Linked DNA regions of Oryzias latipes. The main gene of each other region encodes a partner of the protein of the gene in region 2 in a complex. Links are inferred from orthologs where the notes say so. Each region holds a gene or a part of one and is shown on either strand. Other genes may lie near its edges.

Region 1 (4,190 bases), on a different chromosome or scaffold from region 2:
ATCAAATCCATTCATGCATTTGACCAATCAGATGGACTCCTTCACGTTGTTGACCAATCAGATGGTTGATTTGCTATCAACCTGCAACATATATGGACCACTAATTTCGTGAGTTTTCCTCAAATCAGGCAGCCCTACCAACAAATATTATTGAAGACTGAAGAAAAAAAAAGTATTTTCAAACAGAAAAATACTGTTTGCCGTTCAAAGGTTGGACTTTTTAACCCCTTCATGTTGCTGATGTGCAACGTCCCATTAAATCCTGGACTGCATTTAAATTTGCATTAGCTAGAATGGCAAAAACATTTCATATAATCTGAAATAAAGGGAAGCATGAAAAGGTTAATAATATAAATTAGCACTTATTAATTTATTTCAAACCATAATTTGTATACATTTAGATTTACTGTGTATATATTATCATTTTTCTAATAATTATTATTTTTTAAAGCATTTTCTGCTAAATAGATGATATAATTATGGGATTTTTGAAAGATTGAACAATTTTCTCCTGAAACTGACCTAAAAGTCACCAATCAAAACATGTTTGTATATTTTAATAAGCTTCTCATGTCGTATAATTGTGTCAAAAGGCCCAGCGGTCCTCCTCCGAACAGGTTAAAGCAGCAGGATTTACCAAAAATTAAGTTGTTGGGTCGTTTCTTGTTGTGGGAGCCGAACAGGAACAGAGAGCAGTCGCTCTTCTTGGAGAAAAACTCCTAAAAAAAAAAAAAAAGTAATAGTTCAAATTTAAGACAAAATCTCCTGGGACACTCGAGCGGTAAGAGAGGGTCAGAAATCTCACCAGAGACGTGGAGTCTTCAAAAGGTCGGGTGATGTTCTTCCTGAAACACAGACACCGTTTCTTCACAGAAGTTCTGACCCGACGCGCTGTTCTGCTTCTAAATGTTACACTTCTGTTTTTACACTCTAGGGCTAAAACTTTCAAATTAAGAGCCCTGACGTGACTAAAAGAGGCTTTTATTGTCTAAACTGTTGTTGCAGATCAGACAAAAAAATCCAGAAAAGAAAGAAAACAACAACAGTAAACTGTTGTTTTGCTTAAAAGAGAGTGGAGGTTTTTTATTTTTTTAATCAACATAAATAAAATATTTAGAAAAAAACTTCTTCCATAAATTACAGCCATTCAAAAGCTCCTCTAAAGTCAATATTTGAGTTTTCCAGCAGCTTTAAACCATAAATAACATCAGAAAATGATCTGATGTTTTTCAGATTTCAAAAAAGTGATGTTAGCAGCATCAGGAAAATATTTAGACAATTTGGCCATAAAGTTTAGGATTTGGATTGAATTATTTTAGCTGTGTTGCTGTTCTTTGACAGGCTTTATGATTATTTTTGTAAGTTGGCCATAACCTGATCTAAAAAGGCCTAAAACGTTCGGCTTGTGGTGAAAGTGGATCATAGAGCAGCTCGGATTGGAACTTACTTCTTGTAGAGCACGGCGTTGGGCTTCTTCAGGGAGTACTGCAGGGAGGAGGACAGGGCCATGTTTACTTCTTCATCATTACTTTCTTCAAAATCCTGTTTTTAACATCTTCTTGCTCCCTGCTCAACATGCAGACCATTAGATCGGTGTGCGGATTTCCTCGTCTGAGCTGCAATCTGGCTCTAAACTGCTCCAATATTGCTAATATAATGTTAGCTTGGGAGTATAAGTGGCTGTAAGTTAAAGCGAGAGGGTAAACAGAGAGCTCTCAGTAACAGGGAGGAGTGGAGGGCTGAGGATGCATCATGTTAACAGCCACAACTCAGAGGCAAATTTCGAATGGACTCCTGCTGCTCTGCAGAAACTAGGTCCTAAAAAAGGACACGGGTTCATGATCAGAGGGAGACTTTAGGGATGTTCGAAGTCACTCACGATGTCTTTGAGGGCCTCAGTGACCGTCTGGTTTGTGTTGCCCCCCTTCATGATCATGACGCTCTTCACGTTCTCCAACAGTTTGGGTTCTCGGGTCTCCAGGAAGCGCTTGGAACGCCTCGTCTTCGGTTTTCTGAAAACACAGCAAAACCCCCGAAGAGTCTGAACATCAGTTTCAGCACCAGATTGATAGAAATCAGGCAAACTAATGACATTAAAATCATAACATGAATGCAATTATAATATTAAATAAAATGTTACTCAGATATAAAACTTTAAATTTTAGCTAAGTTTTCCAACTAAACTTAAATCTGGAATTTGCCCCAGACATTTGGACAATTAAAACATTTATTCATTAAAACACTGAATATGACATCACTCATTTGCTATGATGTAAAAGCATAATAAAAACAAACATTTTTCAGAGACCATTTATGTAATCAGATGATGCAACTTAAATAATTTAGAATGAATACATCATTCAAACATAATTATACTCTCTAATCTAGTGAACATGGATTCACACTGTTTTTTTTTGCAAAGACTCCTAGGAAATTTCCAGGCCATTGGGTTTTGGAGTTGAAGATGTATAAATGGCAAGCGCCCTTAATAGGGAACCAATCAGAATTCAGGTGATCCAGTCACCTGAGACCGCCTCAAACATCTGTGAAGGAGCGCTCTGATCTCAGGAGGAACACAGAACCTGCACAGTCAGAACCTTTCAGTGGAGCTGGGGGCTTCAAATTAATGTGGAGGTTCATGGAGGTCTCCAACCTCCAGGAAATCCCTACAGACAAGTTCTGGCGTCCTCCTGGTGAGCTCAAGGAATGTGGGAAAGCTCAAACGGTCCAAACCTTAGCGCGCGAGCGGTACTCACGTGATGCCGTCTGAGTGCGCCATGTCCGTGTCGCGGTTCGGTTCGGTCCTGTTCTAAGTCTGTGGCGCCAGCAACCGGAACCTCCACGTGAGGTTCTGTCCGGTAGAAAAACACACGAGGCTCTCTTCTTCGTTTTTAGTGGAGTTTGCTCGTTGCCGCCACCTTTTGTCTCAGTGCAAGAATGCTTGGAGTCGCTGAAAATTATACTATTTGTCCGGCAGGGGGCGACATTTACCACCAAATATAAAGAAACGCCGAAAAGGTAAAAAAAAACTTTTTACATTTAAAAAAAATATTTAAGTGTTTATACTCTCTAAACGGGAAATTTTTATCACGATGGTACATAAAATAATCCCAAAATAATATTTCTTTTGAATACATGCAAACATTGAAGCACGGGAACTGATTGATGTTCAACTCTGACCAAACGTGTGGAAAATCTAGCAAAACCTGAAAATTCCCAAAAAATCTTCTGAGCCAAAGCTATGCCGATCCATCAACAATTAGTTTAAGCAATAAACACAACTGCAGCACACCTGCAGCATCATGGGAAATGTAAATTGGCTTGATGTGGCCATGCAGCCTTAAACCAAACCAACTGCTGTTTCATGTTTATGGAGATCAGTTTGAATAAGATTTGAGACAAGAGGCAAGCAAAGAACAATTTATGCTTTTAGTCATTAAACTCTGTTGGGATGCTCAAAAGAACAAAACAATCAGATTAAAGAGAAAAAATCCTGGAGATGCCATGAAAAAAAGAAAGATGTTCTTCCATACAAGAGAATAAAAAACATTTCATGTTCATGACATAGATGTCAGATTCCTCCCCCTAATGTATTTTCCAAAGAAACCCAGTATCATGGTTACATCCGTTTTTCTTTTGTCTTTACAATTGTTCTACTTCGTGAAATTCTTTCCTCCTGGAAGACTTTCTGATCCCTTGATGTCAATAAAATCTTGCAGTGTGATCAGTCAAACAAGCTAAAAGGGGCTCCACACCAAAAGCAGGGTTGGTTGTCTCAGCATTCAGTTAGTTAAACATCTATGTTTGTCTAATATTCTGCTTAAGAGGAATACTACAATGTTTCAAATTTGTCAAGATTATGAAATTGTTTTTTTGTGAAGGACATCAGTCAATCCTTGTTATTGAGAGATATTTGTACACGGCAGCAGTGGATGCAGTTTATTTTGTCCCAGACGGACATTTTTTGCTCCCACTACTATGGGGGACAGATTCATGTGAGTTTAATTTGCTACAAAGCCTGGTCTTTTTTTTTCTTTTAAAACCACCCAGGAGTCTGCAGAAAAAATATTCTGTCACATTTGTATTTATAAAAAATTTAAAAAAAAAGAATTAGAATAGTAGTGCGTGTGCAGGAGATACCATAAGTGTTCACATAGTAATGTTTTACTGCAGGAACAGTTTAAAATAGT
Region 2 (3,259 bases):
AAAAGAAAAATAGGCAGCCTTCTTGAGACAATTTACGATAAAAAAAGAAAGCAATTCTATTCCAGTTTGATTTTAAATTCCCACTCCAATCCGCTTTTGTCAGGGTGTTCCTAGCGGTCTTTTCAACTATGACTATGCCGTTTTTAGGCTAAATAGAAAAATCAAATGCTGTTTTCTAGAGAAGAATTTGTGCAGAGCAGCAGTTCATCAGTAGGTGGAACTATTGCTGCAGAGTATGTCCACCCCCACTTTCCGTCATCCATGTTTACACGCTCTCCCACTAGATTACAGCGCCTCACATTTCTCTACATCTTTGTGTGCAAGTGGAGGCGGAGCAGGGAGACTTTGGTCTGCCCAGTTCAGTTTCTACGTTACAACTGAGGGATTTATCAAACAGCATTTTCTGTCTGCTCCTGATTCACAAGGATCTGAATAAAGAAATACTCAATAATGCAGTTTTAATCTAAAATTTCTTTATTTATGTCCTCCATCATGAGAAAAATGCAACAGAATTTCTTTTAATCTTAAAATTAGCTTTTCATTGGAAATAAGTTTTTTTTGAAAACCATATGACATTTATTGGAGGTAAAAAAAAACTGAAACGGCAGACTTTTGTATTTAAATTGTAGAATATATTTGCTTTTCTGTCAACAGTACAGTCAAAAAGCTATGGGGAGCAGGAATCGGTCCTCAGAGTTCAGCTCTGCAGCAGCAGGATGTAGAGAATTTCTTCAGCGCTTCCCAGGTTTCCCTCTCCTCTTCCCTCCTCCAGCTTTGCCTCCTTTTCCTTTGCCCCCCTTCCCCTTGGGCCTCCGGGTGGCTCCCCCTTTGCCTCCCTTCTTCCTGGACGCAGCCTCCTCCCTGTCCTCCTCTCTCATCTGTTTGTTGACGGCTTTGGTGATGTCCAGCTTGGGCCTCTTGCTGTCCATGACCTTCAGGAGCTCCAGCTGCTTGTGCTTCTCGCTGGAGAAGTCCCCGATGAGGGGCTCAAACTTCCTCCTCTTGCCTGCGTTCTTGGGGGGCTTCTCCTTTGGGAGGCGATCCTGGAACCTGCCCACGGATGCCGTGGAGGTTTTGGCCACGCTCACAGCTTTGCTCAGCTCGTCTTTGGATTGCTTGGCTCGGGGTAGCAGCCCCACACCGGGGTTTTTTATTTTCTGAGATCTGGCGACGTTCTTCAGTCTGTTGAACTCGTTCTTTGCCACCCTCTCCTTCTTGGCATGGGCGCGTTTGGCGAACTGGTCCTCGTTCGGGTCGGAGGTCTGCGGAACCTCGATCAGCCAGTCTTTGGTGTCGTCGTTGGCCCTCTTGTAGCCCCAGCGCCTCCTCCACTCCTTGGCCGTTTCATCCCACACCAGGTTCGTCTTCTTCTTCTTCTGGATGCCTTTCAGTTTGGCGAACTGCTCCCATTTCGTCGGGGGTTTGGGCTTCGGAGGAGGTTTCTCTCTGGGCAACCGGGTCGTCGGCTCCGGTAGTTTGGCTACGATCGCCTCCTCGACCCTCTCGGTCGGCACCTTCCAGATTTCGTTGATAAGAAGCTGCGTGTTGTCGCGGGCCAGCGACCGGAGAAAGTCTTCCTTATTCTGCTCTTTGAAGTCCCTGGACTCGATGCGGTTTTTGTCACAAGCTAGCAGGTTTCCCACGTCAAAGTCCAAATCCAGCTCCTTCTGGACGGAGATGGTCTTCAGTTTTTCAGCCTCCTCCTGTTCGGCTTTCGCTAACAGCTCCTCCACGCTGCACGCAGCCATGATTTCGACCACTACACACGTGGGGCAACAACAGGAGTCTTCTTCCGGGTCACGGTGTAGTTCATTGTCTCACCGCACGAGGCAGTGTTGCCTAATTCCCACCGGTAACCATCAGGGGGAAGTGTTGTTTTATTTTCTTGTATAATACAGAATTTGGCTGCCAGAGGGCAATGTTGTTCCACTAATTTGACATTTAAATTTGAATAAAAAACAAACAAATTAATGCAATGTATACAACTTGTTATAATAACACACACATAAAATACACTATATTAATAAAAAAAATCTAAATTCATGCCACATTCATGCAACATTTTTAAGCTCTTTTCTCTTTTTCACACCAATGAACACTAGGGTCAAGTTTAAGTTCAGTCTGTAGCCTTAGGGCGCTTCAACAGGTGGACTACAGACATCAAACCACAGATGATGACAGTCACAGAAGCTCCAGATGGGTGTATATACATTATTTAAAAAGATATATATTTAGCTAAACTAGACAGAAAAAAACATGTAAACGCATTTTTTTTGGGGTAAAAAGTCAGTTACAGTTCATCGGTGACAGTTCAACAAAATTTCAACTCTATGTGTCAAAATACAGTCAAGCTAAGAAATATGCAAAATTTTTCAAAATAAAACCATGTTTGCAATACTTGTTTTTGAATTTTATGGACATTCAGTTGTGATATTTATTTAAATACACATTTAAAGTGAGTTGGCATCGATAATTTTGGTTTCCTTCAGTTGTGTCACCTGGCAGAGCTTAAAATATTAATCTTTTAAAAAATATAAGCCTAATTTATCCCTCAATATTTTTTGTAGGTTACAAAACACTATAACTGCTGTCATTCAGGTGTTTTGGGGAACAGGAACTGCCTCGTATCTGATGCTTGCTTCATAAGAAACGGTCAATGTTCTTCCTTTTTTGTCAAATATTTTGTGAACTCAAACAGTGAAAAATTACAATAAAACCCCCCAAAATAGCATTCAAAAGTCTGAACATGGCCTAAGAATAATATAATGTCATGCTTCCAAAGTTCTAAAATCCAAACGCATGTTAATAAAGACATGGCAATCTCCAAAATGCACCCATCAACAGGGAACTCAAATGGCTAAATGACCAAGGCAGGACAGGAGCATCCATGCATGGAATATAAATACAATATATAATGTTAGCCAAATGGCTACAATACACACCTGACTAAGGGAATACTTGTTCTCAGAAAAAAGGTAAAACTTCTATGACTTTTCTTGCCAATATTAATATCAAAAAATAATTTTACACATCTAGCCATCCATTCTTTTTCTTGCTTTAACCCTTTCTGGGTCATGGGGATGCCGTAGCCTAACCCTGCCACTGTTGAACGAAGGTGGGACACACCCAGGACAGGTCGCCAGTCTGTCGCAGGACACTTTTGCAAACACCTTCTTACAATAACTGTCATGATAAATGGTGCTCATCATATGATGCTTCACTACCTTAATTGAAGTGTAAAGCGCTTTATAGTCGCATA

The links. The genes of interacting proteins can lie anywhere in the genome.
Region 1: rrs1 (region 2) and rpf2 share a complex: the UniProt entries of both Homo sapiens proteins name them as parts of the hexameric 5S RNP precursor complex. The link is inferred for Oryzias latipes from reciprocal best matches to the Homo sapiens genes RRS1 and RPF2.

Annotation. Positions count from the first base shown.
Region 1 is NC_019882.2:10,338,876-10,343,065, forward strand, and holds the start of rpf2 (ribosome production factor 2 homolog), read right to left. Parts: upstream 2,901-4,190; 5' UTR 2,780-2,900; coding exon 2,757-2,779; intron 2,013-2,756; coding exon 1,880-2,012; intron 1,486-1,879; coding exon 1,448-1,485; intron 846-1,447; coding exon 806-845; intron 720-805; coding exon 638-719; intron 1-637. UniProt on the Homo sapiens protein: Involved in ribosomal large subunit assembly. May regulate the localization of the 5S RNP/5S ribonucleoprotein particle to the nucleolus.
Region 2 is NC_019878.2:17,066,218-17,069,476, forward strand, and holds rrs1 (ribosome biogenesis regulatory protein homolog), read right to left. Parts: upstream 1,819-3,259; 5' UTR 1,749-1,818; coding exon 732-1,748; 3' UTR 611-731; downstream 1-610. UniProt on the Homo sapiens protein: Involved in ribosomal large subunit assembly. May regulate the localization of the 5S RNP/5S ribonucleoprotein particle to the nucleolus.